Kluyveromyces lactis: one gene and its partner. The protein of the gene in region 2 binds, or shares a complex with, the protein of the main gene of each other region. Links are inferred from orthologs where the notes say so. Each region holds a gene or a part of one and is shown on either strand. Other genes may lie near its edges. The genes, in order: DHH1 and PAT1.

Evidence for each region.
Region 1: the proteins of PAT1 (region 2) and DHH1 are in contact, whole or in part, in a crystal structure (PDB 4BRW), measured with the Saccharomyces cerevisiae proteins. The link is inferred for Kluyveromyces lactis from reciprocal best matches to the Saccharomyces cerevisiae genes PAT1 and DHH1. Residues at the interface, in NP_010002.3 of Saccharomyces cerevisiae: Gly25, Tyr26, Gly27, Glu28, His29, Glu30, Leu31, Glu32, Asn34, Asp35, Leu37, Asn38, Glu40, Thr41, Phe42, Val46, Gln47, Val48, Gly49, Thr50, Asp51, Phe52, Phe54; in NP_010121.1 of Saccharomyces cerevisiae: Val265, Glu267, Arg268, Gln269, Lys270, Leu271, His272, Cys273, Asn275, Thr276, Leu277, Ser279, Lys280, Asn291, Ser292, Thr293, Asn294, Arg295, Glu297, Leu298, Leu299, Lys301, Lys302, Leu306, Tyr312, Phe358, Asp359, Ile409, Pro410.

What each region holds. Positions count from the first base shown.
Region 1 is NC_006039.1:1,452,310-1,455,892, forward strand, and holds DHH1 (DExD/H-box ATP-dependent RNA helicase DHH1), read left to right. Parts: upstream 1-1,345; coding exon 1,346-2,890; downstream 2,891-3,583. Other genes in the region: mitogen-activated protein kinase kinase STE7, read right to left, coding at 1-386. UniProt on the Saccharomyces cerevisiae protein: ATP-dependent RNA helicase involved in mRNA turnover, and more specifically in mRNA decapping by activating the decapping enzyme DCP1.
Region 2 is NC_006042.1:2,529,415-2,533,761, reverse strand, and holds PAT1 (deadenylation-dependent mRNA-decapping factor PAT1), read right to left. Parts: upstream 2,815-4,347; coding exon 202-2,814; downstream 1-201. Other genes in the region: RQC2 (Rqc2p), read left to right, coding at 3,534-4,347. UniProt on the Saccharomyces cerevisiae protein: Activator of decapping that functions as a general and active mechanism of translational repression and required for P-body formation. First decay factor recruited to mRNA, at a time when the mRNA is still associated with translation factors.

The DNA of each region.
Region 1 (3,583 bases), on a different chromosome or scaffold from region 2:
GTAAGTGACATTGGAGCATCTCTTGTGGTTGGTGTAGTCCCGCTGACAATGGAAGATATATCTGATGTACTAGAACTCCCTTGAAGGAATGAAACCGTCTGGAATGAAGTGTCTCTGCTAATTGGACTTATTTCCTCACGGACCGGAAGCTTCTCCAACATCAAACTGAGTGTTGGACCATTTCCATTACTAAAACCTTTCGGTATTTCGTCAGGAGAGGAAGATGATGATGAACATGATGATTCTAGAGTCAAATGCTTCAAATTCTTCCGTTTCAAAGTCTTCGGTTTGAACAAACTATTGCACGATCCCTCTGCACTATCATTCGACGGTTCATGGTTTATTCGATTCAATAACATCGAGCCGTTTTGGGTACGTGTAATCATATGCTTTTAAGTCAATCTGACCTCAATGTTCACCACTTTCTGCGCCTCTTCTCTTTGGAGATATTAAAGTTTTACGATCAATAATAGATATTAATACCAAAGCCAAACTTACAGGCTCAGATGATTGTAAAATGAGACAAAAATTAAAATGCAACTAGAAACCCTAATAGAAAGACCCCACCAGGTTCCAAAAAACAACACACGTTGGCTCTTTGCAACACTCCTTGCTGCCTCAGTAATCGTCTCTTTCTTCTTCTGAGTTACTGCTTAGCCTTGTATAGGCTTTCTTTATCATTACTTAATTATTACGCTACTTTTTATTTATACGGTGCATGATAAATTAGTGTGGTCCTCAACGGAACCACGAATAGAACAAGAAAATGAAAGGAAGTCACTTCTGCTATTGAACGTAATGGGAATGCCTAGTTGCCTCGAGCATTCTCATTTCAACGTACGCTCATATGCGCTGATACATCTATATATATTTTTGTCTAGGCATTCCCATTATTCGCACTGCATCGTACCTTATCGCTACAAGTGATAGAGAAGCCTCACGGTGCTGAGCTTAGCCCTTGGCATATTTGTTACCCGGACATGTCTTCACTTTTCTTATCACGTGACAATTCGGATTTTGTGAAAAGGGTGATATCCGTTACCCGCACTTGTAATTGCTTCAGTAGGGTAACATTGCTCTTCCCTCCACTCTGGAAAGAAGAAAAAATTATGAAGTTTAGAATTAATTTGAACAATTATTACAGAGGCACAAGAGGAAATAAAAGTATAACATGTGTATTATGGTCATAGGTATAGTATTTATACATTCTACTCTGTGATATTAGCAACAGCATAGTTTCCGGATATACACTAATTGACTAATTTTATTAATTGACTAATTCATTGAAGCTTTATTTAAGAAGGTTTAACTTTATCTGCAAAGAATATTAAAGATAATTGATAATATGGGCAGCGATACAAGCGAAAGTAATAACGACTGGAAGACCCAGTTGAATATTCCTAAAAAGGATACGAGGCCTCAGACTGATGATGTGTTGAACACGAAGGGTCGTTCGTTTGAAGATTTCTATTTGAAAAGAGAACTTTTGATGGGTATATTTGAAGCAGGGTTTGAGAAGCCTTCCCCAATCCAAGAAGAAGCTATTCCCGTTGCCATTGCCGGGAAGGATATATTAGCGCGTGCCAAGAACGGTACTGGTAAGACGGCAGCGTTCGTTATACCAACTTTGGAAAAAGTGAAGCCCAAGTTGAACAAAATTCAAGCATTGATTATGGTTCCTACAAGAGAGTTGGCTTTGCAAACATCACAAGTGGTGCGCACGCTAGGGAAACACTGTGGTATCTCTTGTATGGTTACCACTGGTGGTACGAATTTGAGAGATGACATCATGAGATTAAATGAACCTGTACACATTTTGGTGGGTACGCCCGGTAGAGTGCTAGATTTGGCATCAAGAAGAGTGACAGATTTGAGCGAATGTCATTTGTTCATTATGGATGAAGCGGATAAGATGTTAAGTCGTGACTTTAAAGTGTTGGCGGAACAAATACTTGGGTTCTTACCAGAACGTCGTCAACTGCTTTTGTTCAGTGCGACTTTCCCAGTCACCGTGAAAGAGTTCATGGTGAAGCATTTGAAAAACCCTCATGAGATTAATTTGATGGATGAATTGACACTAAAGGGTATATCACAATTTTATGCATTCGTGGAAGAAAAACAAAAACTTCATTGCTTGAACACTTTGTTCAGTAAATTGCAAATCAACCAAGCAATTATCTTTTGTAATTCTACTAACCGTGTCGAACTTTTGGCTAAAAAAATTACTGAATTAGGATTTTCTTGTTACTACTCACATGCTAGAATGAAACAATCCGAAAGAAACAAAGTCTTCCATGAATTCCGCCAAGGTAAAGTTCGTACGTTGGTTTGTTCCGATTTGTTAACTCGTGGTATCGATATTCAAGCCGTTAATGTGGTCATTAACTTCGATTTCCCAAAGACTGCCGAAACTTATTTGCATCGTATTGGTAGATCTGGTAGGTTCGGTCACTTGGGTTTGGCTATCAACTTGATTAACTGGAACGATAGATTCAACTTGTACAAGATCGAGCAAGAATTAAACACCGAAATTGCTCCTATCCCATCTCAAATTGATAAATCCTTGTACGTTGCGGAAGATAGTTCCGCAGTCCCAATCCCATTCCCTTTGGAATCCCTGCCAATCACTGCAAATGCTCCCCAACAACCTGCAAATGCTGAACCGTTGCCTCCTCAACAAACTCAAGTGCAATTCCATGCTCCTCCTCAGCAGCAACAGCAACAACAACAGCAACAACAACAACAACAATATCAACAATTCCCAAACCAACAACAACAGCAATATGGTCAGCCTCTAATGCCGCAAAACTACCAACAACAGGCTTATCCACCTCAACCTTTCCCATCAAAAGGCTTCCCACAACAACAATACACTCAAGCTCCTCAATAATGAATTAAGCATTGTTTTAATGCTTGCTTCTAACGGAGCAGTTTTTTTTTTTATCTTAATTTCCCACTTTTACTACTCAAAACCCAAGTCGATCCTATGAGTTGAAATTCAGGTCCAATTTCAGTTCTTGTCATTATTTTGTATTTGTTAAAAAATTAGGCTTTGTCCACATACCACGCATATTGTACCTCTAGACGCTATTGAATATTTTCAAATACTCGACAATCCTTGCGCGTTTCAAAAATCTCACTAATGTTGATTGTACATTAACCAAAATTGACTATAACTAAATGTATCATAATCAATGCACTTTTTCAGCACACTTTATTTGGTTGCTCTATAGGGTCTTATTCTTTTTGCCCTGAATTAATATGAATCGTGGGTTTCAATACTAACCATCTCTACGAATTCCACTAAAGGTTCCTGGACTTTGTTCCCCACCTTTGCTTGTATGCCCAGGTTTGGAATACGAATGCCTTCATTTTTTCTTTTTCAGGCGCTATCGCCTGTAAATTTAATCAATCAGCTTCTTCCTCCATTCATTCCAATCGCCTGTCCTACTACGATAATTTCAAAAGAATCAGTATTACTAAACTGGCCGGTCTTAACCGTGATGGCTCAATCATACAATATAGCCAATCAATCTACTCAATCTACTTATCCTCTCTTTTTTTTTTCTCCGTCTTATATTAC
Region 2 (4,347 bases):
TTCGGCGTTCATAAGGATTGAAGTGTTCTAGTAGATGGAAATATGATACATTTGTAATAGTAAATAGAAGAATTACTTAGATACTATAAAGCTGACTTTTTTTTGCAATTTTTTTCCTTGAGATTTGATTTCGAATTTGTAGCACACAGTTAACAGTGGCAATCGAGATAGGGGCTGATCAGAGGAGGCGCACGATATCGATCACTTCAGTTCAGTGATTTCACCATCACGAGCAACAAGACCCATGACATTCAAGAACAAGTTCAAATCCTGATAGAACTTGTTTCTTTGATAAGCCAGTTTAGGGTCTTGTTGAGAAGGGGCATTTAGTTCTTCAGCCTTTGAAATGACTTCGAAAATTTCGTCTCTCACTTCATCAATCAATATACGTTGATGGTTCAATTTTCCGCTCAAAGCAAGCGATGCAAGGAACTGCCAGATGTAAGATTGATCATACTGAGTAGAATCCTGTTCATAAACTGAAATGGCGTGTTGCATATATTCAGGTGTTGGGAAAATTGCAGTCAATTTTGTTTCTAAAGAAGTAAATAGCCTATCATAGACTTCACTCCAAGTGGATACTTCCACAGAAGACAACAGTTTGCCCCTGCTAACATCTTGTTTCATCAAAGCAGCACGTGAAATGAGCACGGTAATCAAATTCAAACCGATACGCGATGTGGTGATGAAAGAAACGTTATTATTCTGAATGACATTTATTAGTAGACTCATTACCTCCAAAAACTCTGCTGAACTGGATAAGAACGAAACAATGATCTTCAAAAACACAGATTGGAACAATTCCATCTTCTTCAGTTGATCTTTAGTAGGAAGTGGAGTAGTCTTGTACGATGATATGACAATGACATTCAAATGAGAAAGTTCCTTGAAGAAGCAGTTGAAAAGCTTAATCTTCTCTTCTCTTGACAAGAAATTCATAATACGTGGCATAATCTTGATACCTTTGTCGAAAGATAAGATGGAAATGAAGGGAGAAACGTCAAAACCGTGGTCCTCAACGTGTAGCGCCTCCCATAATTTTGAACTGTCCGGCTGTTGACCGGATCTCAATTGAGCTTCTAGTTCAAGCACTTCTTCGTAAACAGTTTCAATCAATGATAAAATGAACTTACGGCCACCAGAACGGGATAAAACTGTACGATGGTCCACTGAAGAACTCAAAGCATAAGATGATCTTCTTCTTTTGGCATTGATATCCACGCCTTGCAAAGATTCAGACACCTCATCTAGGGCTGAGCTTGATTGAGAAGACAACGCTGGAGAATCCTCTTTGTGAGTTGGGATTTGTAATTGCTTTCTTGGAGCTTTTGAGTTCCTAGTAGCTGAGATTTTACCCAAGACACCCTCTTTGGCATTATCCAACCCACCCTTACTTTTCTGTGGTCTTTCTTTCGCAACGGTAACAGCCTTCTCGACCTGAGATTGCATTCTCTGTAACGCGACGTCAGTTCTCTTGTAACGACCTCCTAATCTGTGACCCGAGTGCTCTAAATATGCTTTAGCAATAGAATCCTTATTAGATTCAGATGGAGTGACACCCCTTTGAATGATTTTATAAACTTGGAAGTAGAAATCCTCATTGTAGGGATCATCAGTGACAATTTGAGATAACTGATACCTGGTGATAAAATCCTTGTCTCTTGGAGTCATTACACCAGAGTGTCTGAGAATTTTGTCAACCTTCGATTGTCTGATTTGAAGACGTCTCAATTCTTCATCAGTCAAAGGATCTTGGGTGCCAAACCTCCTTGGACCACGGCGATACTCTCTAGGTGTATGAGGTGGAGTTGGCACCTGCTCTGATTCTGTTGGCACAGGTGTTGGAGAGTTAGAATGCTCATAATCTTGAGTAGAACGGACAGCTTGGGTTCTAGCAGCAGTGTCAACGGAGTGAGGCTGTTGGAACACTTGTTGCTGTTGGTGTTGTTGTTGGTGCTGCTGATCTTGTTGGTGTTGTTGAGGCAAGTATTGGGGAGGTAACTGCTGTTGGTGGGGCTGCTGGGGCTGAACAGGAGGTTGATTTTGCATTGGTGGCATAGCCATCTGCGGATGTTGCATATGATGTGCAATGTTTCCTTGTGTTTGATTGTACATTATCGGTGGTACTTGTTGGAATTGTTCCTGAGGGTTAACAGGTTGATTAGGAAATCCGGCATTACCGAATTGATTAGGGATAACAGGGGGAATATTTTGCCCAGGGAATTGCTGGTATTGACCTTGAGGGAACCCTTGTGGAATAAAGCCGTAGCCAGGGTTCTGCGGAGGTTGCATACCATAGAATCCAGGTTGAGGCGGCATAGCCATCTGTTGTTGTCTGTCTAAAGATTGAATGGCCAATCCTTCCACATTAGGTGCACCTTGCTGTTGAACCTGTGGTGGGGCTTGGAATTGTGTAGGGGCTTGAGGTTGCACCTGTTGTTGCTGATTACCGGAGCTGTTACCCCATAAAGATTCCATAGGTTGCATGTCCAGCGATTGTTCGAAACCAGGTTTACAGTCTGCTTGTCTGTTCATTTTGGCATTTGCAATAGATGCATAAGAAACAGGAGCTGGTGCTGGTGCCCTACCAGAACCTGAACCAGCGCCAAGCTCCCCTTTACCGTAACCAAAATCAAAATCTGTACCCAGATCCGCTCCAGTACCAAAAGTTTCATCATTGAGCAAATCATCTTCCTCTGGCTCATAATCACCCAAGCCTTGATACGTTTCTTCGAAATCTAAAGAATCCTCCTCGCCTTGCTGTTTCCTCTCACGAGGTTTTCGGCCCGTGGCGTCAAAACCGAAGAATGACATCGTTCAGTGATTCAGGAATATAAGGACTCCTATACTAATTGGGCAAAAATCGATTTCTAGATCAGAATTGTCGACAAATCCTATTATATTCTCTTAAAAACACAAGTAATGTGATTTAAGTCGCTACCTGCCTGCGTTTCGTTCAAGCAATCTTCCAACAAACGGTCTCTGAATATCTCTGATCACTTATTTTTGAGCATAGAAACTACTTTGCTTGTTAAGTGAATTACATTTTTGGGTTGTTGTTTGATGAAAAATTTCACCGTGCAAGATGATATACATATTAAGGATTTCTAGTTCAAAATTTGAAATTCAGGTCATGTGATTTCAAATATTTGACATTTTTCAACATGGTAGTTTAGAAAGTTCCAATACAAACTCGTACGTAGTCTTTCTTTCCTTCATTAGCAGCATATATAAAGTGATTGCGAATAGACAAAGATGACATATACTACTAACATCCTAGGTACAGCTATCTGGAAAATATATCAGCTTAGCAGTTTAGTCTTAAACCTAAGTAATAAAAGATATCTGATCTAATAGCAGTGACCAAGTTCTAATAATTTTAATCTGATTAGCAGTGAAAATACTGATTTGTATGAAGATCTGAATCAAGTATAGTGCTCGAAAAGAATCAACTCAGACTGGTAAAGTGGACTTAACTGCAACTTGGAGAGTACGAAATATCTAAACTATAATCTTGGATTTGATACTAGAAAATGAAACAGAGATTGAGTTCGTTAGATTTGCAACTGATATCCAAAGAGTTGGAGAATCAAATTGTAGGATTTCGCTTAAGAAATATCTATAACATTGCTGACTCAAACAGGCAATTCTTATTAAAGTTTGGAAAACCCGATTCCAAGTTAAACGTTGTCATTGATTGCGGATTGCGAGTTCATACTACTGACTTTACCAGGCCGATTCCCCCGACTCCTTCGTGGTTTGTTTCCAAATTGAGATCGTATTTGAAAGAAAAACGATTGACGGCAGTTAAGCAGATCCCAAATGACAGAATAATTGTGTTTACTTTTGCTGATGGTAAGTACTACCTTGTTTTAGAATTTTTCAGTGCCGGAAATGTGCTTTTATTGGATGCTGACCAAAAAATTCTTTTACTACAGAGAGTTGTCGATGATTATTCGATGAAAGTTGGTGAATTTTATGACATGGCCAACTTTGCAGAAATTAACCAAACTTCAACTACGGTTCCTGATCCTAAGGAATATTTCGAAAATGAAATAGCAGATTGGTTGAAAGAAGCCGACGTTAAAGCCAAAAGCACAATTGTGCCCGGAGAGGCTAAAAAAGGTAAACTCAAGGGAAAAGCATCTGTTCCGTCTATTCAAAAACTTTTATTTGTTCATGCTCCACATTTATCAAGTGATTTGATTCAAAACTCGTTGAAAGCTATTGGTATTGATCCATCTTCTTCGTGTCTTGAGTTTAAACACAATGTCTCTGTGCTTGTTGACTTAATGTCCTCATTAGAAGTTCAAGCAAATAAATTGATCTCGACTACGTCAACAAGAA